Linked DNA regions of Arabidopsis thaliana. The protein of the gene in region 1 purifies or fractionates together with the protein of each later gene. This does not show direct contact. Each region holds a gene or a part of one and is shown on either strand. Other genes may lie near its edges. The genes, in order: CKA1, AT5G27140, EIF2 GAMMA and AT2G18720.

The links.
Region 2: the proteins of CKA1 (region 1) and AT5G27140 fractionate together in Arabidopsis thaliana (co-fractionation; one large-scale study listed by BioGRID). This does not show direct contact.
Region 3: the proteins of CKA1 (region 1) and EIF2 GAMMA fractionate together in Arabidopsis thaliana (co-fractionation; one large-scale study listed by BioGRID). This does not show direct contact.
Region 4: the proteins of CKA1 (region 1) and AT2G18720 fractionate together in Arabidopsis thaliana (co-fractionation; one large-scale study listed by BioGRID). This does not show direct contact.

Annotation. Positions count from the first base shown.
Region 1 is NC_003076.8:26,879,792-26,886,437, reverse strand, and holds CKA1 (casein kinase alpha 1), read left to right. Parts: upstream 1-2,358; 5' UTR 2,359-3,054; coding exon 3,055-3,368; intron 3,369-3,648; coding exon 3,649-3,778; intron 3,779-3,849; coding exon 3,850-4,044; intron 4,045-4,125; coding exon 4,126-4,283; intron 4,284-4,370; coding exon 4,371-4,461; intron 4,462-4,564; coding exon 4,565-4,630; intron 4,631-4,711; coding exon 4,712-4,794; intron 4,795-4,910; coding exon 4,911-4,974; intron 4,975-5,059; coding exon 5,060-5,128; intron 5,129-5,222; coding exon 5,223-5,282; 3' UTR 5,283-5,472; downstream 5,473-6,646. Other genes in the region: AT5G67385 (Phototropic-responsive NPH3 family protein), read right to left, coding at 85-612, 739-1,353, 1,456-1,525, 1,629-1,684. UniProt on the Arabidopsis thaliana protein: Casein kinases are operationally defined by their preferential utilization of acidic proteins such as caseins as substrates. Phosphorylates casein in vitro. The alpha chain contains the catalytic site.
Region 2 is NC_003076.8:9,546,081-9,551,510, forward strand, and holds AT5G27140 (NOP56-like pre RNA processing ribonucleoprotein), read left to right. Parts: upstream 1-2,461; coding exon 2,462-2,539; intron 2,540-2,640; coding exon 2,641-2,685; intron 2,686-2,738; coding exon 2,739-2,831; intron 2,832-2,910; coding exon 2,911-3,075; intron 3,076-3,155; coding exon 3,156-3,356; intron 3,357-3,452; coding exon 3,453-3,950; intron 3,951-4,021; coding exon 4,022-4,294; downstream 4,295-5,430. Other genes in the region: AGL39 (AGAMOUS-like 39), read left to right, coding at 553-1,473. UniProt on the Arabidopsis thaliana protein: Required for 60S ribosomal subunit biogenesis.
Region 3 is NC_003070.9:1,094,547-1,100,875, forward strand, and holds EIF2 GAMMA (eukaryotic translation initiation factor 2 gamma subunit), read left to right. Parts: upstream 1-2,335; 5' UTR 2,336-2,574; exon of another isoform or gene 2,575-2,740; intron 2,741-2,852; 5' UTR 2,853-2,876; coding exon 2,877-2,985; intron 2,986-3,072; coding exon 3,073-3,134; intron 3,135-3,253; coding exon 3,254-3,366; intron 3,367-3,452; coding exon 3,453-3,555; intron 3,556-3,832; coding exon 3,833-4,060; intron 4,061-4,171; coding exon 4,172-4,390; intron 4,391-4,490; coding exon 4,491-4,751; intron 4,752-4,853; coding exon 4,854-5,156; 3' UTR 5,157-5,355; downstream 5,356-6,329. Other genes in the region: XIB (myosin XI B), read left to right, coding at 5-196, 355-483, 561-631, 801-897, 972-1,028, 1,119-1,175, 1,258-1,421, 1,489-1,600.
Region 4 is NC_003071.7:8,113,642-8,119,330, reverse strand, and holds AT2G18720 (Translation elongation factor EF1A/initiation factor IF2gamma family protein), read left to right. Parts: upstream 1-2,332; 5' UTR 2,333-2,353; intron 2,354-2,519; exon of another isoform or gene 2,520-2,561; 5' UTR 2,562-2,571; coding exon 2,572-2,695; intron 2,696-2,793; coding exon 2,794-2,962; intron 2,963-2,992; exon of another isoform or gene 2,993-3,018; coding exon of another isoform or gene 3,019-3,038; coding exon 3,039-3,141; intron 3,142-3,224; coding exon 3,225-3,452; intron 3,453-3,537; coding exon 3,538-3,756; intron 3,757-3,841; coding exon 3,842-4,411; 3' UTR 4,412-4,476; downstream 4,477-5,689. Other genes in the region: DGK3 (diacylglycerol kinase 3), read right to left, coding at 1-355; AT2G18721 (uncharacterized protein), read right to left, coding at 2,225-2,332; SCY1 (SECY homolog 1), read left to right, coding at 4,879-5,081, 5,292-5,449, 5,532-5,689.

The DNA.
Region 1 (6,646 bases):
AAATATTTACCAGTTTTTGTAGTCTCATCTAAACGGATTCGGTATAGAGCAAATGAATGTAAATGTTTACTAACTTAATATTACCTTAAGGTAGATGTCGACGGCTCGATACATACCATCTTCAGTAACCCTAGACTGTTCGGGGATAAGTTCAGCTAAACCGATGAATTTCTGCAAGCTCACATTTCTATCAGAAGCAATTTCAGCCATATAATTCTCCAAAAGTTTACCAACACGTTCCATATCACCAGCAAGATCAACACCATTATTGCTTAAGCGAACTCCTTCGACTTCAAACTCGAGATAATTCATGAGAATGCGTTGAACAGTGTCAGTATCAAACATGGAGTGATCTCCAGTGAATGAATAAGAAGGAATCAAGAGATCATCGAGCACGGCTTGTCCTAATTGTAATCCCATTCTGTTTTCCAAGTCAAGTCTACAAGCAACCGTTGTTTCGAGGAATATTGCTGCGCGTAGAAGCATAGAGAGAAAGCTAACCGACATTGCATTTTTCTCTCGAGGAAGAAGGCTTACGATTGTTTCAAGAATCACTCTTTTCTCGTGTTCTTGTTTTGGCTCAATCTTCTTCATTCCTTTCCCGAAAATTTCCTGCATTTGCAAAGAAACGAAACAAACTTTTAACGGATACCCATCATTCTTTGTCCCTAGTTTATGGAACTTCAACAAAAGAAGAGACTCAACCAAAATGGTAATGTGTGTTTGTAAGAAACTCACCAACCCTCGAAGAGATTTCTGAGCATAGAGCATAAGCACTGGACCAAGTCCATACTGCTTAAACCCTCTAGCCATCATCGCGATCAGGACACGTTGAAACGAATCAATCCTAAGAACCGTTAAGTCTTCAGCCCACCAATCAACAACAGGCTGCTTGCTCTGCTGCTGAACCACAACCTCATTGTTACCGCTATTACTTGAAGAAGGACTGCAAAAATGGCTCTCTTGACAAGTCATATAAGCAATTGCATCGATGCAACGGCTTACAAGTTTGACTCTTTCAGCAATGGGCAACAACTTCTCTGATTTGTGCAAGACTGTGATCGAACTCGATAAGCTCTTGAGAGCTACTTCATTCAAGTAAGCTTCGGCTCTTACAACGAGATTTTCCACAGAGTGTTCCTCTGTCATCTCTAGATACTCCGCTGCACATCGCAACATGGCAATGTTCTCTGTGCTCATATCAAAGTTAATGCCGTAGCAGAACTTAGCCGCTAGCTCAAATGCTTCAGAGCCTCCTGGAATATCTGGTATCTTGATAACAGTGGAATCTGAATCTTTGCTTGATTCCGACACAAGTTTCTTGATAAACCCACATTTTGACATGAGTGGAAACTGCAAGATTCAGAGAGAAAACAACCGAATCGGCACGAATGTGATCATGTCATTGGCTTTACATCAGAGAGATTGATCGCTAAATACAGATCTATAATCTACCTTGTGCAGTGAAAACGAAGCTTCTCCTACATGAACGGTGACATCACTAGATACTTCTTGAGAAGAAATCCTGAAACGATGTAATAAAGAGTATTATAAACGATTTCTACTTCAGGACTGGAAACAAAAAATGGATTGAGAAACAAAATAATCTTATGAAGAGAATAAAAAACCATTCACTGGTTCTTTTCATAGCTGAGGACAAAAGATCTTTCTTCTTTGCTGACATATTACGAACACTTAGCTCGCAGTTTCTTTTCACTCAAGAAATTCACCATGGAACACTATTTCAAGTCCTTCTCATGAAGAAGACGTGCCGTAATGTACTACTAAAAGAGAGAGAATAAGATCAAGAAAATGAGCTTCTTCCTCTCTTTTGATAATTGTGACCAAACAGAAAAAGAGAACTCAAATTCTCCAAACAAAGAAAACCATAAACTACCCTTACCACCAAAAGCAATGAACAAGACAGAACAGGGTAGTTATGTCATTCTAATGGAGAGTACAAGATAGGGAGTCAGTCTAAGGAGGGAGTGTGTGTGGTAATGGATTGGTTTAAAAATTGAGAAGAGTCCAAGTGGATCAGACACACATCTTTGTACCAAACTAATAATTCCAAATTATAAAAAAGAGAGTATTGATTCCTCTCCACAAATGTATATATCCCTTACAAATATTAGCTATAAATTGGTTTAGTGGTAAGAAGAAGAGAAGGAAGGAGTATATAAGTAAGCTGCAGAATCTTGGTTTTGTGACAGAACATGAATGATGGGATATTTGTCCCTACAGAGAGTCTTATCATCTTTTTTTCTGATAATTGAAGTCACTATATGCCTCAACATTTTGATTGAGACTCTACTCAATCTTGCAATAAATTGTGTCTCTTGAATAATATAAGACGTCCTCAACGAAAAATTCAAAATTTTCAAATAATTGCAAACAATAAAAACAGAGGATGATACATGAATCTGAGTTTTTACCTCTAGTTGTTTTTCATGGCTTGGTCAGCTAAATGAGTAAAGACGACAGAATCTTCCCTCGAGTTCTCAACATTGGAATCAAAAATCAGTATTGTTAACCAATTCAACCCCTTCAAGATCAATAGCTTTTTGCAGTCTTCCACACTATACATTGAGCCTCTTCATCCATCAAATGCCTCAACTCCTAAAACAACCATAGCGTAATCTTCGCGTGTATCAACCAATTAGCTGTTACATTTGTCGGAGAACCCATTGATAGTGATAGGAGTCTGAACAATCTTTAAATGGCTTTGTCGCAGCCTCCTTGATGAATCGTGGGGACACAGATAGAAAGTTTCCACCTTTTACTTGCCCATTATTGCAGACTTTCTCGAGACTTAGCTCCATTATCACTGATCGAATCCTCGCTTAATGCAAATCCGAAATTTCAAAAGCTTCCCAAAAATAAGAACCCTAACATGTATATAAGCGGGTGGACTATTTGGGTCCAAATATATTGGGCCATAAATAAAGCCCATTATACTATGTCAGGCCTTTATGGCAAATTTAGTTGGCGCAAAAATAACGCAAACGAAAAAAGGAAAACAAAAAGTTAATCTGGTGCGGAAGAGCGTAGTGAATGATAGATACGCTTTTCTTCTTGTTCTTCCTCTTCTTCGATTCTCCTCTTCGACGTCTCTTGTTACTGTGCGCCGTCTTAGCCTTACGTGCGCCAACGGCGCACTCTCCTATCCTACGCTCATCTATCGTCACTCCCACAGCGAGAGCTGTCTCGGAAGTTTCCGGTTGTACTACGATCGATCCAGATTTTCTCGTAGAGATCTCTGATTCTAACCAGACGCGGGCGATGTCGAAAGCTCGTGTGTACACCGAAGTCAATGTGATTCGACCCAAGGATTATTGGGATTACGAGTCACTCATTGTTCAATGGGGGTAAGATTGTTAAACCCTAGAATTAGCTGAATTGGTAGTTGCTAAAGTAATTTAATCGATTTTTGTAGTGTTTGTATTGAATTTGAATTCAGCTTGCTCTGGATTTGCTTCTTGATGAAGCTAATCTAATCAAATTGATGCTGCTAATGTAAAAAACTTTACTTTTATCTCTATTGATGAATTTGATTTTTTAGTTGTGCTTATTTTGCCTTTTAGTTCTTCTATTGTAAAGCAATGATTTTTTAGTTTAACATTTTGATCTTGTTATTTGCTCTCTCAGGGAGCAAGATGATTATGAGGTAGTAAGGAAGGTAGGGCGTGGAAAATATAGTGAAGTTTTCGAGGGTATAAATGTGAACAGCAAGGAGAAGTGCATTATCAAAATCCTCAAACCTGTTAAGAAAAAGAAGGTGAATTGTTTTACATTGTTTTGGATGATTGGGGTTGTTTCTTGAATCTCTCTATGATCTTTTTTTCGTAGATAAGAAGAGAGATTAAAATACTTCAGAACCTATGCGGTGGGCCAAATATTGTCAAGCTGCTTGATGTTGTTAGAGATCAACATTCGAAAACTCCAAGCTTGATATTTGAATATGTTAACAGCACAGACTTTAAAGTTTTGTATCCTACGTTGACTGATTACGACATTCGTTACTACATCTATGAGCTGTTGAAGGTATAAATTCTGGTATTGGTTGGATTATATAAGTATTCCATTTGACTTCATACTCACATTTGGTAAGACTACTTGTTGCAGGCACTAGACTTCTGCCATTCACAAGGAATAATGCACAGAGACGTCAAGCCTCATAATGTTATGATTGACCATGAGCTGCGTAAGCTTCGTCTTATAGATTGGGGTCTTGCTGAGTTTTACCACCCTGGAAAAGAGTATAATGTCCGTGTTGCCTCAAGGTATGGTTTTACTTCATACCCTTTATTTTATTTTTTTCGCTGTTGCCTAGCTTCACTCTAATGTTTATCTCTCCTAATGTGTATCAGATATTTCAAGGGACCTGAACTTCTTGTGGACTTGCAAGACTATGACTATTCATTGGATATGTGGAGTCTTGGCTGTATGTTTGCAGGGATGGTAAGTTCATGATATAACATTTGAACGGCTTTCCTTTCTTTTCTGAGAAATGAACTTGTGGTGATCTAATTTTGACCTAATTTTTCCTCATTACCCATATTAGATATTCCGTAAGGAACCTTTCTTCTACGGCCATGACAACCAGGATCAGCTAGTGAAAATCGCCAAGGTATATTACTTGTAATTCAGTATTAGAATATGGGAGATCTCCGTTCCATTGTCGTCATGAACTCTCCTTCTTATTCACCAGGTGCTTGGGACTGACGAATTGAATGCTTATCTGAACAAGTACCAGTTAGAACTTGATCCACAACTGGAAGCACTTGTTGGGCGGTATGTGAAACTTAAACATTATATTGTAATCTCCGAGCTTGGCATTGCCATGTAATGAGCTGAAGCTGAGAATTAGTGTTGTATCATTCTCTGGTTCAATGGAACACAACCTACAGGCATAGCAGGAAACCTTGGTCCAAATTCATCAACGCAGACAATCAGCACTTAGTTTCACCCGAGGTTTACTCCTTTCCTTGAGTCCTTAACTCCTTGTATAGAAAATGGTTTAGTTGGGTTCTTAAGGGTTTTGTTTAAAACGGTGTAGGCGATTGATTTCCTCGACAAGCTACTTCGGTATGATCATCAAGACAGATTAACTGCAAAAGAAGCCATGGTACGCATGCTTCAGAAAACAAATTAGAAGCCTTTGTATTTGTATATAAATCACATATTAGGTAAATTAATATGGTTTGTTGATTTGTTGACAGGCGCACGCTTACTTCGCCCAAGTTAGGGCAGCAGAAACCAGCAGAATGAGAAGTCAATGAAACACAGAGATCTCTCTGTCTATAAACTTACTGATGATGATGATGGTAATGTTCATCTTTTCTTCAAAGTATTTTTTTTAAATCAAGGTGATGTTTCTTCTGTCCAACTTATTAAACAATTTGTCCTGAATTCGAATGTCTGAAACGTCTTATATTTTAAATATATTTTTCATGTATGTTGTATCAAACCAAAAAAAAAAAAACAGAATTACAATAAAACAAAAAAACGTACTAGTTTTATTTAATTATTTTTAATGTTTTTCTGCTCATTCGTATTACTACTATCGCAATTGTTTTTACCAAAATAAACAAAAAACGTACTAATATTATTTAACTATTTTTTGAATATTTAAATGATTTTATAAGAAAATATTTTTTCATTATTAAAATAAAATTAGAATCTTTTACATTAAAGTACCAGTAATTTTGGAAAATAAATTTCCATGTTTAATAATACGTTAATTAAAACCTTAATTAAATAAAAACTTTGGTTTGTATTTTCGTTAATGAAATCTTTGTTTTATATTTTCGTTGCCATAATGAATTCTTTTTTTTATTTTTCAAAGACATTGTACAATATATCGAATAAGATACTTAAATAAATTTGTATCTAAACTTATTCGATATCTTTTAAGAAATAAAGAGTGAAGAAAATTAAAGTTAGTTAAGAAATAAAAATGTTGATTATGTTGCAAATTCATAAAGAGAAAAAAAAATCAATCAAAATTAAAGTGGTTTGTTAAAAACTAAAATTAGTCTAGTTGACGAAGATGAATTTGTTAGTTACTTTAGTGTTAAAAAAAATTGCGATAGTAATACGAATGAGCAGAAAAACATTAAAAATGAAAACGACAAGAAATATGTAAAATGGGCCTAACTTCCTAGGCCTGAAAACGAAAAGGCCGTAAGGTAATTAGTAAGCCCACATTAGAAGACAATTTGTATGGTAAATAATTAACTATTCATTGGAAAATAAATAACCACTTGCACTATAAGCGAGTTATCACCACGCGCCACAAATCTGTAGGTTAACCCCTTTTGAAATTAGCCATTTTTGGATATTTGAGGAAATTAAGCGCGTCTGCCTGATTATTTTTGCATTATGGGCTCCTCGTCTTGTGATCGATATATGACTGAAATGGGCCATTTAATAAAAGCCAATTAAGTAAAACGGGGCCATAGTGGCCCAATGAAATTTTCTTCATACATTAGTATTAAATAATTAACTATTCATTGGAAAACAAATAACCACTTGCACTATAAGCGAGTTATCACCACGCGCCTCAAATCTGTAGGTTAACCCCTTTTGAAATTAGCCATTTTTGGATATTTGAGAAAATTAAGCGCGTCTGCCTCGTTATTTT
Region 2 (5,430 bases), about 17 Mb from region 1:
TGTTTGACAAACTAAAATACAATTGCAATCCCGTAAAATATTTATTTTAATTATATATTTAAATTAACGGTGTACCACTGGGTTTTTTTACGGGACGAGTTTGGCGGAACGGGTTTGAAAGAACGTTACTTAATAACAATTGTAAACTATAAAATATTTTTATTTTATAGATAGATATAATTTGCAAACTTTTATATATACTGATTTAAAAAAATAAATTATTTCTACGGTATAACGCGGGTTAAAATCTAATATTTAGATAATTTTGAATATCCAATATATATGTTTAATTGTTTATAGTAGTAATAATTTTTTTCTGCTATTGTTGTAATAAAAGAAATCTCTAAAACGTTTTAGTAGGAAAGAAAAAAAACGTTAAATGCATAGAAATAAAGTTGGGCAGTAAAAGGAAAACAACAAGACCTAATTAAGTTTGACATATATAACTCAGGCGGCTATTACATCTATAAATATGGGTAATATATCTATCTTGCTTCTACTCTCTCTTTTCACTTTTTCTCTGTGTCTATTTGTCTCTCCGTAAGAAACATTATGCCTTCATCTGATTCCACGATGATGAAGAAAGGAACAAAGCGCAAAATCGAAATAAAGAAACGAGAAACCAAAGAGCAACGAGCCGTGACTTGCTCTAAACGCCGTCAAACTGTTTTTTCCAAAGCCGCCGATCTCTGTCTTATCTCCGGTGCTAACATCGCCGTCTTCGTAACCTCTCCCTCCGATAGTTCCGATGTTGTCTATTCCTTCTCCGGTTACTCCTCTGCCTACGAAATCGCTGATTGTTACCTAAATCGCAAGCCTCCACCCAAGATTGTTAACCCGGCCGGATCCAAACTAGGATTTTGGTGGGAAGACCCTGATCTCTACCATTCGTGTGATGATCTCTCTGAGTTAAGCATTATCGAGGATCGTTTACAGAGAATGAAGAAGCATGTGATGGCTTGCCTTGAGAAGGAAGAAAAATCTCAACTTGTTTCTAGTTTCGACCAAAACCCTAATAGTACTTGTTCTCTCGACGTCGAGGATTGTGATGGATCTTCTTATTCGCAAATTGCTTCTACTTTTACTCCAAACTCTGTCAACGAGTATTGCAGCGATCAAACCTTTTCTTCTTTCCATGGCGATCAAAACCCTAACCTCTCGTCTCCGTCTTTTGATCAGGACTGTTACTCCTCTCTCTATCAGATCTGTGGAGAATCATCTTCACAAGTTGCTTCTTTTGATCAAAACCCTAGCTCCGAGATCCAAGGATTTGAAACAGAGGAAGAGATTAACCAAATCAATCTACTACTACAAGAAACACAAACAGAGGCCAATGTCAATTTGGATGATGAGATCTGCTTTTGGAATGATCTATCCAACGATGATGTGTTTGGTCTAAACAGCTACTTCGGTCTCGATAACACCAATGCAATGATCAACTTCGGAGATTCCGACTTTAGACGTCATGTCTGATATGATGTGGTTGTAATCTTCAGAACTTGTTCTGATTTTGTCTCATTGTAAACAGAGATTCTTGATCCAATTTAAGTTTTTGTAAACCTTTTTTCCTTTATTGTTTGATACTCTGATGTGAACCCTTTCGAAGTTGAAAGTAAATTGTTTGAATCAGTTTTGCAATTCCACTTACTAGTTTGTTGATGTTAAATTCAAGTTAGTGATTTGAATTTGGATTCTCAGAAAAGAAGAACACAGTTTTTGGAGCTTTTGCTTGTAATTTTACATGAGTTTTAGCCTTTAGCTGAACACTTTTTGATTCCTTAATGGTCATCTTGTTAGGTGATGTGTTTGAACTTTGAACAGAGTACTTGAGATTAATTTAAGATTATGTATGTAACGTAGATTAGATGAACATATTTATACCAACATTTTATTAAAAAAGTAACTATAATCATTTTTCGAATTAGTAATTAATTTTATAGTTTCTTTAAGGTAATCATATATTTTACAATTTGTATATTAAAATTAGCAGATCAAACTCTGTTTTTGATAGAGAATAAATAAACTTTGTTTTTGATAATCTTTTCCCTTAGAAGTAAGGTCGGTTATTTTGACATCTTTAAAAATTAATTGTATAATTCTTTTTAGAAATATACCATTTTAAGAAAATAAGAATAGTTTTTTTTTTAAAGGTTTTTTTTTAGTTTTTTGTGAAAATTATATTTTCACATGTTTTTTTTCCGTAACTTTTTAATAGAAAATCATATATTTATTTTCTTATATATATAGATCGTCGATTAAGAATCTCGAACCCTTATAGCAAATTCGTTGCTCCTCTTTTTTTCTTTCTCTAACGCAGCAGCTTTGCTTAAATCCTCTTAGGTATTTATTGAATCTTTCTCCGTTGTCAGTGGAACGTGGCTTCCAAGTATTAGTTTTTGACTAAGTATAGTTCTGACTTTGAGATGTTGAGTTGATTAAAGGGTTTCTCGTAATCTTAAAGATGCTCGTACTGTTTGAGACGTCAGGTGGTTTTGCACTCTTTAAAGTATTAGATGAAGGAAAGCTCTCTAATGTTGAGGTTATTTACCTTATTCATTCTCTTACTTTCATTGATCTTAACCTTGTCTATATGTGTCGTTTGTTTTTAATATTCTAAGTATGTCAAATTTGTTCTTGTAGGATTTGGGTACTGAGTTCTACTCTGCAGAGTCAGCTCGAAGGATGGTTAAGCTAAAAGCTTTTCATAAGTTTGACAACACATCTGAACTCCAAGCAAGGGTCTACACAAGTTTTTGAAAAATAACTGTGATGATGGTGAAATCTTAGCTGTGGCTGATCCAAAGCTTGGAGATATCATCACAGAGAAACTGGTGTGTATTTTGTTATGATCTTTTACATATTTCTGTATATATATGGCTTGTGTCTTACGGATTTGCTTCTCTCCTCTAGGACATAGAATGTGTTCACAACGATGCTGTTATGGAGCTGTTACGAGGTGTGAGAAGTCAGTTAACCGAACTTTTATCCGGATTGGATGATAATGATTTAGCTCCAGTGAGCTTGGAATTGTCTCACATCCTTGCTAGATATAAACTAAAAATCACCTCTGACAAGGTAGTCATTGAGTTCTCTGTGTTTTGTTTTACCCTTGCTTATGTTACTTTTCCCCTCTCATACTTAAAATGTTTTGTTAGGTGGAGACCATGATAATCCTATCTATCAGTCTGCTTGATGATCTTGACAAAGAGCTTAACACTTACACTACGAGCGTTTGTGAATTGTACGGTTTGCATTTTCCCGAGCTTGCTAATATTGTACAGGACAATATCTTATATGCCAAGGTGGTTAAACTAATGGGGAATCGGATTAATGCTGCAACGCTAGACTTCTCTGAGGTAAAGCCTTATTTACCATTCTCCTTGACTTTTTGTTTCCATTAAACTATAGTTTTGTCTTTATGAAACATCTTTCTGTGTCCAATGTCATCTCAGATATTGGCTGATGAAGTTGAAGCAGAACTAAAAGAGGCTTCTATGGTGTCTACGAGAACTGAAGTCAGTGACCTTGATTTGATGCACATCCAAGAACTCTGTGACCAAGTTCTTTCAATCGCTGAGGACAAAACTCTGCTTTGTGACGACTTGAAGAACAAAATGAACAAAATTGCACCAAATCTAACTGCCCTTGTCGGGGAGCTAGTCGGTGCTCGCTTAATATCTCATTGTGGTAGTTTATGGAACCTCTCAAAGCTACCATGGAGCACAATTCAGATTCTTGGAGCTGAAAAGACCCTATATAAAGCCCTTAAGACCAAACAAGCCACTCCAAAGTATGGTTTAATCTACCACGCACCTTTGGTTAGGCAAGCTGCACCAGAGAACAAGGGTAAAATCGCACGTTCACTAGCTGCAAAATCTGCTCTTGCTATCCGGTGTGATGCTTTTGGTAATGGCCAAGACAACACTATGGGAGTCGAAAGCCGCTTAAAGGTATTCTTCTCTCCCGCCCGATCCTATCTACATTTTTCTTCCTTCTTTGATGGTCTAATTTTTTTCGACAGCTTGAAGCGCGCTTGAGAAATCTTGAAGGAGGAGATTTAGGAGCATGCGAAGAAGAAGAAGAAGTTAATGACAAAGATACAAAGAAGGAGGCTGATGATGAGGAAGAACCCAAAACTGAGGAGTGTTCGAAGAAGAGGAAGAAAGAAGCAGAACTTGAAACCGTGGAAGATCCCGCAAAGAAGAGCAAACAAGAGGGTGTAACAGGATTATTACTCCTGATGCTTTTAATTTCTCTAATCTATTTCTTTTCTGTTAACCAGTTGCTATGGTAAGCCATTAGCTCAGATATACAAAATTATGCGTGAGTAACACGTCTAGTTTCTTGACGTTTTGTTAGGATCATGTTGATACTCTTTCAAAGTCATTCAATTCAAAAACGGTTTCCCTTGTCATTTGGTTCGGTAGACTTGACAAAAAAAATAATCAGTTAAAGATGTGGTTAAGACCAACAAATATGTTCACAAGAACGTAAACATCAAGGTTCTGTCGCTTTAGACTTGATTTACAAGTGGATTTAAACATGATTAATTCACAAGCTAAACATCCATAAGAGTTGGATAAAAAAAAAATCCAATTCCATAAATAAATGAAAGAGAAAAGTGGATCAAAAACAAAATCAAATTTGTAAAAAGGTTATGTGGCTTTGAATTCCATAACCTTTGAATCACTCAATCGAACCTATTGAAATTGCGATGCTACTAAGAGCCGGACCATAACACATGAACATGAAACATTACAGTGGCCCCCATTCTAAAGGGGCCTCAAAGAAATTTTATTTTAGTTATATATACATATATTGATTTTTGATAATGGGAGAAAATAGTTAGTTTTATACATATAAATCCTAAATAACTGTGTGGTCCAAAATATTTGAGAATATTATTGTACTTTTGTTTTTAACTCCAGAATTTTGTTTAAATTAGTTTCTATTTACTCTATAATTTTTAAGATAAGAGTACTTTGTTTTCGTAATTTAAATAGGGCCCCGGATTTCATTGATCCGGCTTTAGGCTCTAGAAAATGCCTTATATGTATGTTGAACAAAAATGCAGAAACCTTGAGATATCCATGATTGATGTAGAGAAAGCTCTGATGCAAAAAGTGTCACGCTCAATATTTACCTTTTTTGTGTGTTTTAATCTTATATCTTTACTCTATTAAGACCAGAACACTCTGTTTGCTTGAATAACAAACAATTTAACAATAACCAAATATTTTGTCATTTCGACATATGTAAGGAACGTGAGTTGGTTTATACTCTATAAGGAAAAGAGTTACCAATGAACAATAATTTCCTAATTAAAAATTAGTAAACGTTAAAAGTATTTTTTTGTCATTCCGACATGGCCTCGTTTTTTTCCTCGAAAATTTAGAAATAATCATATTATTTTTACTTACAAAATACATA
Region 3 (6,329 bases), on another chromosome or scaffold:
CCAGAGCTTCCGCTCATCACCAAACCTTGCTGCTGCGGCTGAAGCTGCTGCTCTTGCGGTGATCCGCCCAGTGGAGGCAAAATACCCGGCTCTGCTTTTCAAGCAACAGCTTGCAGCATATGTGGAGAAAATATTTGGGATGATTAGGGATAACTTGAAGAAAGAGCTCTCAGCTTTAATATCTATGTGCATTCAGGTTTCATTGACTTCTCTCTTTGCAGCTATATATTTTTGTCCTGACTTTACGTTGTTGTATCCTAATGCTGTGACCACTCGCTTGTTGCGTTGCACCTTGATAATAAATGTGTTTTACTATTGTAACAAGTCCTGTTCTGTCAAAACTTTGAACTTCAGGCACCGAGAATTTCAAAAGGAGGGATACAAAGATCTGCTAGATCTCTTGGAAAAGATTCTCCTGCTATTCACTGGCAGAGCATTATTGATGGTCTCAATTCGCTGCTTGCCATATTGAAAGATAATTATGTAAGGAAATAGTAAAAGTTCCATGACATTATTCTGTTTTCAAATCCTCAAATTCTCATATGTTTCATGGTGTACAGGTTCCTTTGGTACTCATCCAGAAGATACACACTCAAACTTTCTCGTTCGTCAATGTGCAACTATTTAACAGGTAAATAATACTTGAGAATTACATCTAATGGTTTCTACACACCTTATCATCGATACTCGTCAAAGTACAAACCTTCCTATGGTTGATATTTCTCAAATTCCTATGGAAGATATAAGCCAAGATCACTAGTGTTTTCTTACTTGGTTTTTTCCTTAACATCTTACAATAGCCTTCTACTGCGTAAAGAGTGTTGTACATTCAGCAATGGAGAATTTGTAAAGTCTGGGCTTGCAGAGCTAGAATTGTGGTGCGGCCAAGTCAATGAAGTAAGTTCCTACCTCACGTTTTCCTTCCGGAAAAAGTTTCTTTCGGCTCATTATATCATTCTTTGATTTTGCAGTATGCTGGGCCATCTTGGGATGAACTGAAACACATCAGACAAGCTGTTGGGTTCCTGGTATGTTTTACTCTTGTTTAATACTAACTTGTGGAACTCTTGTTTCTTGAATCTTCAAAAACGAATACTTCTCCTCTCGTAACTTATCAGGTTATCCACCAGAAGTACAGAGTATCATACGATGATATAGTACATGATCTTTGCCCGGTAAAGCTCCTTCTTAGTTTCTAGAAACACGTTTTTGCCTAGACTCCATACTTAATGGCTTTCTTGTTTCACTTTATTACAGATCCTTAGTGTCCAACAACTTTACCGGATATGCACATTATACTGGGACGACTGCTATAACACCCGAAGTGTGTCTCAAGAGGTAATATCGAGCATGCGTGCGCTCATGACAGAAGAATCCAACGATGCCGACAGCAATTCCTTCTTGTTGGATGATAATTCCAGGTAACTCGAATCATTTCTTAAAGATTAATATCAGTAGTAGAAACTAAAACCGGTTTATTGTTCGCAGCATTCCCTTCTCAATAGACGAGATTTCGAATTCGATGCACGAAAAAGACTTTGCGAGTGTCAAACCGGCCAAAGAGCTACTGGAAAACCCAGAATTCGTATTCTTGCACTAGTGAGAAGCTCGGATTCTAAAAAAGCTCTTCCTCTGTTTCTTTTTAGTCTGAGTGGGGGAGGGGTGCCTTCTTGAACCAAAAGGAAAGAAGATTACAAAAGTGTAAATTTTTACTTCTTGTGGGGTTGTTTCTTTCTTGCAAAACCTCTGTGATTTCTCTCTCACCAATTCATTCATTTATTTATTTGACCCCATTTCAAAGTTTTTTCTCCATTTTAGACCCAAGATTATTATCTGGTTTTTTTTTTTCACGGCTCAAGTTCTACACGATGAAGATCCTTTGTTGTTGTTGTACAGAATTAATCTACTTAATTTGTTATAAACTTGCCCCAACTCTTTTCAGTGATTTTTTTTTAAAAAATTTGGGACTCAATCAAACTCCATTACACCTGGTGATATTGGTTTAAAACCAACGTTTCTGACTTCAACAGCCGAGATTCAAAGACTTCAAAACCTTCCAAAAAAAAACAAATTCATAACTGGTTCGGAAAGATAAATTGACAAACCCGAGAGAGATAGAGGAACACGAACGCTTATAGTCGATCGCAAATAGGCCTTTCACTTGAGGTGTCTGTCTCAAGTTCGAATTCTAAAAGTTTTATGGTTTTTTTTGTTTAACTGTGTTTTATGTTGGGCCAAATTGTTTTTTGCTTTTAGGCATTAAATTTAGTCGGGCCGGCCCTGCACATAAAATTAATATGATGAAATGTTTTGGGTTTGATACTTTGATTCATAGAAAAAGTAAATTAGTCTCTACTGATAGTAATTTAATTAAATACTAGTATTTCATTATTTTGTAAGAAATTTTAGAAAGGGAAAAAAAAAAAAGGTTACGCGAAGGAAACCAAAAACCCTTTAGGGACTTGGATAGAAAAAAAAAAACCATTTTGTGCATCTTCTTCAAGCTGCGCCGCTTTCTCACTCTTTTTTATCTCTCAAATTTGACCTTCTCCGTTGTTCTTTCGCATCGCTCAGGTTCGTTTCGATCTCGAATTACATCTCCTACGGATTCAATATTTGTTCAACCTAATTGTTCCCATTTCTATCGCACGAAGATTAGTTCGGGGAATCTAATCGTAATCATAATGTTTTTTTAGATTGCGAATCGAAATTATTGTGATATTTAGGTAACGGAGCTCAGGTATAGAATCTGTGTGTCGACTTGATTAGGGCAGATGTAGAAAAACCTGAGAAGTAGTCTTTTTCAGATTAACTAGGGTTAGGGTTCTGATTTGATGCTCGGTTTTAAGCAGGAGCAGAAGCTTCAATCTTTGATAATGTCGAGGAACAAGGGTTTGGCTGAGCAAGATCTTAAAAAATTGGATGTAACTGTGCTACATCCTCTGTCTCCTGAGGTCATTTCTCGCCAGGCCACTATTAATATAGGTAACGCTTTTTTGAGTCTTTTATATAAGTTGATGTTGAAGAAACTGGCAGTTCCTATAAGCTAAAGATGATAGTGTTATGTTTCAGGAACCATTGGTCATGTCGCTCATGGAAAGTCCACTGTTGTTAAAGCTATTTCTGGTGTCCAGGTAAAATTTGATTATGCGGTTTTCACAATTGTAATCCTAGAGGCTTTTCTAGCTTGCAGCGTTTGATCAATTGGAGTGGGTGAAGTGATTTCTATGGTTTCCTTATCTTCTCTGTACAGACTGTCCGTTTTAAAAATGAATTGGAGCGTAACATTACCATTAAGCTTGGATATGCAAACGCCAAGATTTACAAATGTGAGGATGAGAAATGCCCTAGACCAATGTGCTACAAGTGAGTCCTTCTTACAACAGTGTTTTTATCTTCTACTTCTACTATAAGGTTTGAGTCAAGGTCTAACAACTTATCTGTTGTATTAGGGCCTACGGAAGTGGAAAGGAAGACACTCCCAATTGTGATGTCCCCGGATTTGAAAACTCCAAGATGAAACTATTGAGGCATGTCTCATTCGTTGATTGCCCGGTATGATGAGTTTTACCGTTATCTTTATTCTTCATTAATTACCATTTTCATTTGATAGTATAAGTGTATAACCATTTCATGTGTCAATGAGCTGTTCGTTTATTGTGTATTATCGATGTTGTTGTGCTCCACCTGCATGATTTTGGGTCTCTCATTTAATTGGGTGAAGGGCTTAAAGAGTGAGGGTTGATGGAGAAGTATTCATTGATGTTTCCATCTTTTGCTTTTCTTATCTCTACTTCATTCTTGTTGAATGTATTCTTGTTCTATTCTTCAGGGTCACGATATTCTCATGGCAACAATGCTTAATGGAGCAGCCATCATGGATGGTGCACTACTTTTAATCGCTGCAAATGAAACTTGTCCACAACCACAAACGTCTGAACATCTTGCTGCCGTTGAGATTATGCAACTTAAGCATATCATCATCCTTCAGAACAAGATTGATCTTATTCAAGAGAATGTTGCCATTAATCAGCACGAGGCAATTCAGAAATTTATAATGGTTAGGTTTTCTTATCTCTTAAGGATCTGTTGTAGCATTCTCATTTCGTCACTTGGTTAAGCTAAGTATTGAAGAACTTGGTTCTAAAATTTCTTTCACATCCTGTTGCAGAACACTGTTGCTGATGCTGCTCCGATCGTCCCTGTCTCAGCACAACTGAAATACAACATTGATGTGGTGTGCGAGTACATTGTCAAGAAGATCCCAATCCCTGAGAGGAATTTTGTGTCACCCCCAAATATGATAGTGATTCGGTCTTTTGATGTCAACAAACCTGGTTATGAGGTTGATGAGATCAAAGGTGGAGTTGCAGGTGGAAGTATCCTACGGGTATCTATTCTCTCTCTCTCCCTTTCTCTTGTTGTGCCTCTTAAGTACATCAAGCTTTATATGGTGTAATCAGTATCTCTTAACTACATGTATATTGTAGGGTGTTTTGAGAGTCAACCAATTAATCGAAATCCGACCTGGTATCGTTACCAAAGACGAGCGTGGCAACTCAAAATGCACTCCAATTTACTCTCGCATCATTTCACTCTACGCGGAACAGAACGAGCTTCAGTTTGCTGTTCCTGGAGGTCTAATAGGAGTTGGAACAACAATGGACCCAACTCTCACTCGTGCAGATCGATTAGTTGGTCAAGTCCTTGGTGAAATCGGTTCACTTCCTGATGTATTTGTTGAACTCGAGGTATAAACAACTCCTCACAACCATACTCTTCAGTCTTTATGGTCCTAATGGGTCTCTTAGTGTATTTTCTCCTTTTAATTTGTGGTTATGTAAAATCTGTAGGTGAACTTCTTTCTTCTACGACGTTTGTTGGGAGTGAGAACAAAGGGATCAGAGAAACAAGGGAAAGTGTCAAAGCTAACGAAAGGAGAGATTCTGATGCTCAACATTGGTTCGATGTCCACTGGAGCCAAAGTTGTAGGAGTTAAAGTCGATCTGGCTAAACTGCAACTGACTGCGCCTGTTTGTACCAGCAAAGGAGAGAAAGTGGCTCTAAGCAGACGTGTGGAAAAGCATTGGCGTTTGATTGGTTGGGGTCAGATTCAAGCTGGAACCACCATCGAAGTTCCTCCTTCACCTTTCTAAGCTATGTGTTATTTTTGTCCTTTTTGTTTGTGTTTCTGAAAAAAAGATTGTTAAACCCCTCAAAAAGATAATAAAACTCTTTTTCTCGTTGGGGGATTTTGGAGAGTTCGTCTTTGCGGATTAAACATCTTCAAACAGTACCTGATTTGTTATTGTTACTAGTTTGCTCTTTGTTATTGTTACTAGTTTGCTCTTTGTTTGTGTTTTTCTCTTAGATATTACTAAATTTTGTTGTCTCTCTTTTTTTTTTTGAAATTTTTGTCAGAGATACTCTGCTACTTGACTATACATACTTTCTTCAGAAAAGGAACAACTTCATTACTCATTAGGATCCGATCAAGTACGACTTTTTATAATAAATACGACTTTTTAGTCAAAATGTTCATGTCTTCTCTCTAAAGAACGTTATTTGTTTGCGATTTGAATTGAGTGTCTTGCCTTCCACTGTGTATATCCGTGCGAAAACTTATGTTACATAGACGGGACTGCAGAGGCAGCAAGTCTCCATTCGGCTCATCTGGAACTGTCTCAACAACACTTGCATTTGTGGTTCGCCTTCCCATTGAAATGAGAAGAATCGCTGACTGTGTTCCAAAGTGATGGGTTAACATGCCAACCTTTCATGCAGGGAAACAAGTTTAGTTACCTAGACTCCCGCAACAAATACTTGCACAAATTGAAACTCTGGAAGAAGATAAACCCGAATGGTACTTTCATCACGCACTTGCTCCACAATACCTTCTATTGGCTTGCCCTTCCACAGAGCCAAATTCTCTTCCACCAATAGCTTCCACTTTGTAATGGAGGCGCTCCTTCTTGAAGCGGGGAAAAAGCGTCCGCTCCAGGTTTTAAATTCCTTATGTGACCGTTAATCCTTAGGGGAACAAAAAAAGGAAATAAAGCCATCCAATTGAAAAAAGTGTTAAACTCATTTTAAAAAACATAATAATAATTTTCCCGAAAATTTAAAACTTAAACTTTAAAAAAATAAGTAATAATTTAACTAAAACTATGTTAATTAGAATTTGCCGTGTGAATCACGATGATACGAAGTAAATAAAAGTCTGACTATTATTAAATTTGATTTACTAACGTGTATTTGGTTAATCCAGTAGTTATACCGTGAAGCTTATGTAGCTTTATTTCTAGTCACGAATTAAAACATTAATCTAT
Region 4 (5,689 bases), on another chromosome or scaffold:
CCTCGCTCATCAACTGTTGAAGCCTCTCTTTAAGAACAGGACCATGACGACCACCAGAATTGGGGTTAATGAAAACAACCATAGGAGCATGAGGAGCCATATCAGCAACAGCACCACCAGGAAGAAGTAAATGATCAGGAATAGCCGAGGAATCTTTGCGTTTGATACAGTCACGCATAGCGAGACGAAGATACTCAGGCATCATCAACCTCTGACGAAGCTCTACTTTATCTACACCAACCCATGCCAGATTCGCGAGTCCACAACCTCTCATCGTCTTTGAATCAGCCGTTGATGGTCGTGAAGCCACGAATTTCTCTTTCGATGCATCGGTTTTTGATACCGGAGAGTCCATTGTAGTCTCTCGCCGGAGAAGAAAAGACAAAAAGATGATTACTTTTCGTCCTGTGATTGGAGAAAATGAGGAATATTCGAAACCCAGATAATCAAAATTGGAGTTGAAATGAAAAATAATAAAGGATTGTTTTTTTTTAATCTTTCTTCTTCTTCTTTGCTGAGAGATTTCAAATCAACCAATATAAAATCTTCTTTTGACAGTTTGTATTTTCTTGTCTGTTTTGTCTTTTTTATAAATGATTTAGTTTCGAAGACAGCGCACAAAACGTGTGAATTAATTTGCTTATATTGAAAAAAAAAGAATTTACACGGTTGGATTTCAATGTGACGTCATAAAAATGCCACTCTTTAGATCTTTGATTCTTTTTCTTTTTTTATTGTTTGACATTTATGAAAGCGACTGATAAATGTTTATTTTGTAAAAGTTCTAATTTAGAATAATTTTGATTATTAATAATATTAAACTACTAAGATTTGTATAGTTTAATACCATTATCTTCTGTAACTAAGATTTGTAGATCTTTTGTTTCTGTAAGATCAAATTTACAATTTAAAGTGTACAAAATCTTACAATACTAATGATGGCATAAAGAGATTAACAATGAGATTTTTTAACGTTATTGTTATATCAAGAAAACCAGAGAAAATTAATTAGTAATTGATTGATACATTGTAAGAATAGGATCTAATGATATTTTAATATTCAAAAAGGTTCCATTATAGAGGTTACATCTGGTGAATATGATTGAATACAATTTGATATAGAGAATTAGAGATACTTGCATTATTATTTGCTTCCTATTATTATTTGACTGCATTATTGGTTTCTTTTTCTATGTAAAAAATATTTTCAACTCTCCAACAAAGAAACAAAATTCTCTGACATTTTGCTTAGAAAGAGTGGCGTTTTCGTCATTAAACAAAGGAATAGTTTTGGTGGTAACGTAAATTGTAAAAAAACAGCGAAGGAGACAATAGAAAATGAGAGCAGACATTGAAGTTAGTGGATTTTCCACAGAATGGGGCCTACAATGTTATTGCCCACTCAGAGAAATAGGGTCACTGAAAGTGATAGCTACTTCCCATTGCTGGGATCGTTGTGTACTTTTTCTAACCTAAATTTCCCTCAATGCCTTTTTCTTAACTTATAGAATTGGTCGAAACTTGAAAGTATATACAAATGCCACAGAAAAAAACATCATTTAATACCTTCTTAATTGCACGATATGATATCAGATGTTTTGTAACCAAGAATTGGTCCATGTAAACAATTTATTATGTGGCAGAGGAAGACTCAAATTCAGGTGGCTGATAAAAAGTGGGGTTTAAGATATTTCTTGAACTGGAAGACAATGAGCGTGTGTTCTCATTAGTATTACAAATCATATTTACATTATTATAAAGCGGAACATATTTACATTATACTCCAAATGATGTAACTATAAAATTTGATCTAACAATATATATCGTTAAGAAAAATAACCTAAATTTATCACAGCTTATTCATTTACACTCCTATAGAATCATAGATTTCCTACTCTTTTTTTTTTGTCATCATATAAACATATACTACTTTTTGTTCAAGGATCAATGTTTCTTAGTTTGGTGAAAGATAGAAGTAAACTGGAGTGGGCCAATGGTTAGGCGTGTAAGCCCAAACTTTGGAACGATTTTAGCCCATCTCAAAAGGAGCGTGCTATATTTTGTAAATGAAATTGCAAAATTACCTAACACAAATTTTCCTATAAAAAAACATTTCGGGTAAGAAACCGACAATTATAAAATAAAAATTGTAAGACATGTTTTATTGACACATGGAAAAATGAAGTTGGCGAAAAAGACAAACAGTAAACGTTAAGATAAAACCCTACCTATAAATATACCTTACACGCCACCTGACTTTATCAAAACCAAAAACACAAACCTTCAACGGCACGCTTTCTCCTCTGAAATCTCTGCGAGCAAACTTCTTCATCTACCTCTTACCGTACTTCAGGTTTGTGTAAATCATTTTTATAAGAACTTCAGTGAAATAGATTAGCAACCCTAATTGAATTTAATCGAATCGTAACTATTGTGAACGGAACCCATCCATCTTGCATAAAAACCCTAGTTTCTGAACAGCCTTTCGAAACTTCTAGTGTTATTGTATTGGCTCTGATCAACGTTGTTCTAAAGTTGTGAACTTTGATTGATTGCAACAGAGTGTTTAAGATGAAATCTGTCGTAATGTCGAAGAACAAGGGCTTAGCTGAACAAGATCTAAGTAAACTTGATGTAGCTCAGCTGCATCCTCTCTCTCCTGAGGTCATCTCTCGTCAAGCCACCATTAACATAGGTATACACAAGTTTTTGTTTCATTGAGTTTTGATGCTGAAGAAACTGATCAGCCGTGCATTGAAAGCTAAAGATATGACTATGCTCTCTATATCTCAGGAACCATTGGCCATGTCGCTCACGGGAAATCGACAATCGTGAAAGCCGTTTCCGGTGTGCACACTGTCAAATTCAAGAGTGAATTGGAGCGTAACATTACCATTAAACTTGGTTACGCAAACGCAAAGATTTACAAATGTGAAAAATGCCCTAGACCAGTAGCCTACAAGTGAATTCTTGCTCTTCTTTTGCTACAATAAGGTTACGTAGTGTACGTAGCAACTTATGATATGTGTTAATTATAGGTCTTTCGGGAGTGGCAAAGAAGACAACCCAAGTTGTGATGTCTCTGGACATGAGAAGTACAAGATGAAACTACTAAGACATGTCTCATTTGTTGATTGCCCGGTATAAAATGAGTTTTAACACTATTTCTAAATCTTTTGTAACCATTTTCTATATGTTAATGAGGTGTTTTGTGTGTTGATTAGGGACACGATATCCTAATGGCGACAATGCTGAATGGAGCAGCGATTATGGATGGTGCTTTACTAATCATTGCTGCGAATGAGACATGTCCACAACCACAAACAGCTGAACATCTTGCTTCTGTTGATATGATGCATCTTAAAGATATCATAATCATTCAGAACAAGATTGATCTCATCCAAGAAAACGAGGCTATTAAACAGCACGAGGACATCCAGAGATTTATAACGGTTTGATTCAATTTTCCCATTCTGTTTTTTTTTTGCATTTTTCACTTCTTGATTAGTTGGTTAAGTTTTAAACTTGTTATTACAGAACACGAATGCGGAAGGTGCTCCTATAGTTCCTGTCTCAGCGCAACTGAAATACAACATCGATGTTTTGTGTGAGTACATTGTCAAGAAGATTCCACTCCCTGTGAGGGATTTTGTGTCACCTCCAAGAATGATTGTGATTCGTTCTTTTGATGTCAATAAACCTGGCTCTGATTATGATGGTATGAAAGGTGGAGTTGCAGGTGGGAGTATCCTTCAGGTAAAACATACTCAATACCCCGAAAAACTAGGATAAATCGCGGTTGAATCAATGTAACTTATGTCTCTCTTTGCTTTGTTTGCAGGGTGTTTTGAAGGTGGGGCATATAATAGAGATAAGACCTGGAATCACTAGAAAAGATGAGAATGGAGACACTAAATGCACTCCCATTTACACGCGTATAACTTCATTGTACGCGGAACAGAACGAGCTTCAGTTTGCTGTCCCGGGAGGTTTGATTGGAATTGGGACAAGCATGGATCCTACGCTTACGCGTGGTGATAGGTTAGTTGGTCAAGTCCTTGGTGAAATAGGTACTCTCCCTGATGTCTATGTTGAACTTGAAGTGAGTTTCCAGCTTCTGACACGTCTCATTGGAGTGAAGACAAAGGAAACAGAGAGGCAAATGAGAGTGTCAAAGCTAGTCAAGGGAGAGATACTGATGTTGAATATCGGATCGATGTCTACGGGAGCTATGGTTATTGGAGTAAAGAAAGATATGGTGAAAGTTAATCTGACACTCCCTGTGTGCACCAGCATTGGAGAGAAAGTGGCTATAAGTCGCCGTGTGGATAGGCATTGGCGTTTGATCGGTCGCGGTCAGATTGAGGCTGGAACCACCATTTTTATCCCTTCTCCTCCTTCTTTGGCATGATTATATTTGATGCATTCACATATACCAAACTTGTAGTCTCATTATATCTTCAGAGTATTCCTAATCTGTCACCAAAGGAGATAACTAAACTTCTATGTGCTTATGCTTTTTGTGTGAAGTCTAACTAGAGTTTGATCAATTGCATCATCTTGATTTGTTATTAAAAGTTTTATAGTCTATGGATGTTACAGCTTAATTAACTAATTATCCTACATAGTTCATTTGAGAGAAAGATATAATTTGTGATTGTTGAAACTTGAAACTTGAAGTCTTGAAGAAACAGAAAGAAAGACTTGAAGTCATGGTCTCATTCCTAACGCCCAAAACAACAAAGATTAATAATGTGCAAAAGATGTATTGGGCCTAAAAGGCCTGGCCCATTAGCTGGATTCCGTAAGAAAAAAAAAAAAAGTGAAAAGGAAAAGAAGAAATCGTCGTTGTTGTGGAGAAGGAGAAGAAGGATAAGGATGATAACGGTAAGCGAAGTTTCCTCTTACTCTTCTTCTTCTTCAAACTTCGCGTCTCTGTCTCGTCTCAATCACAAATCATCTTCGAGATTGCGAAGCTCTTCTCTTTACAAAGGAAGCTTCTTCTCTGTTTCGACAAAGACCAGGAGGAACACTTGTAAAGCCAAATCATGGAATCTCGGTCTTGTTATCAACTCTAGAAGGTACTTCTTCTTTCAGATTTCAGATGGGTTCCATTTGAAATCGAAGATAATGATCTTGTTATAGATATTGCGACTTAAAGTTCGAAACTTTTCATGTGAATTTCTCTTGAATTGTGGAGATTTGAGGGTTATTTCATCACTAGTTCGTAGAAATGCTGATGTTTTGTCACTTACTGCTGCATTGTTTGTTGATTGGAGTTGATGTTTCAGCTCTGAGGCTTCGGTTTTTGATCCGTTGGGGATCAATCCAGATGAAACTTCTGGTTTAAGTAGCATTTGGGAAAGCTTTGTGAGTCTTTTGTCACCATCATTTGAAAGCTCTTCCGGTAACAGGCGAGATAAGCCGTCTTCTGGTAGAGGCGTGGCAGGTTCGTTTTGGCTTATCTACATTTGCTTATTGTATGTTTTAGCATGATTGATGATGGTTGCTTTACTCTTTGAAAACTTCAGCTGCTATTGAGGACAGTTCCATTGATTTTGGAGATTTCTTCAAAGGGCCATTGCCAGGGAAGTTTCTGAAGCTTCTTGGGTTTTTAGCTCTCTCTCGGCTTGGAATTTACATACCACTCGGCGGGGTTAATCGAGAAGCTTTTGTTGGAAATTTGGAT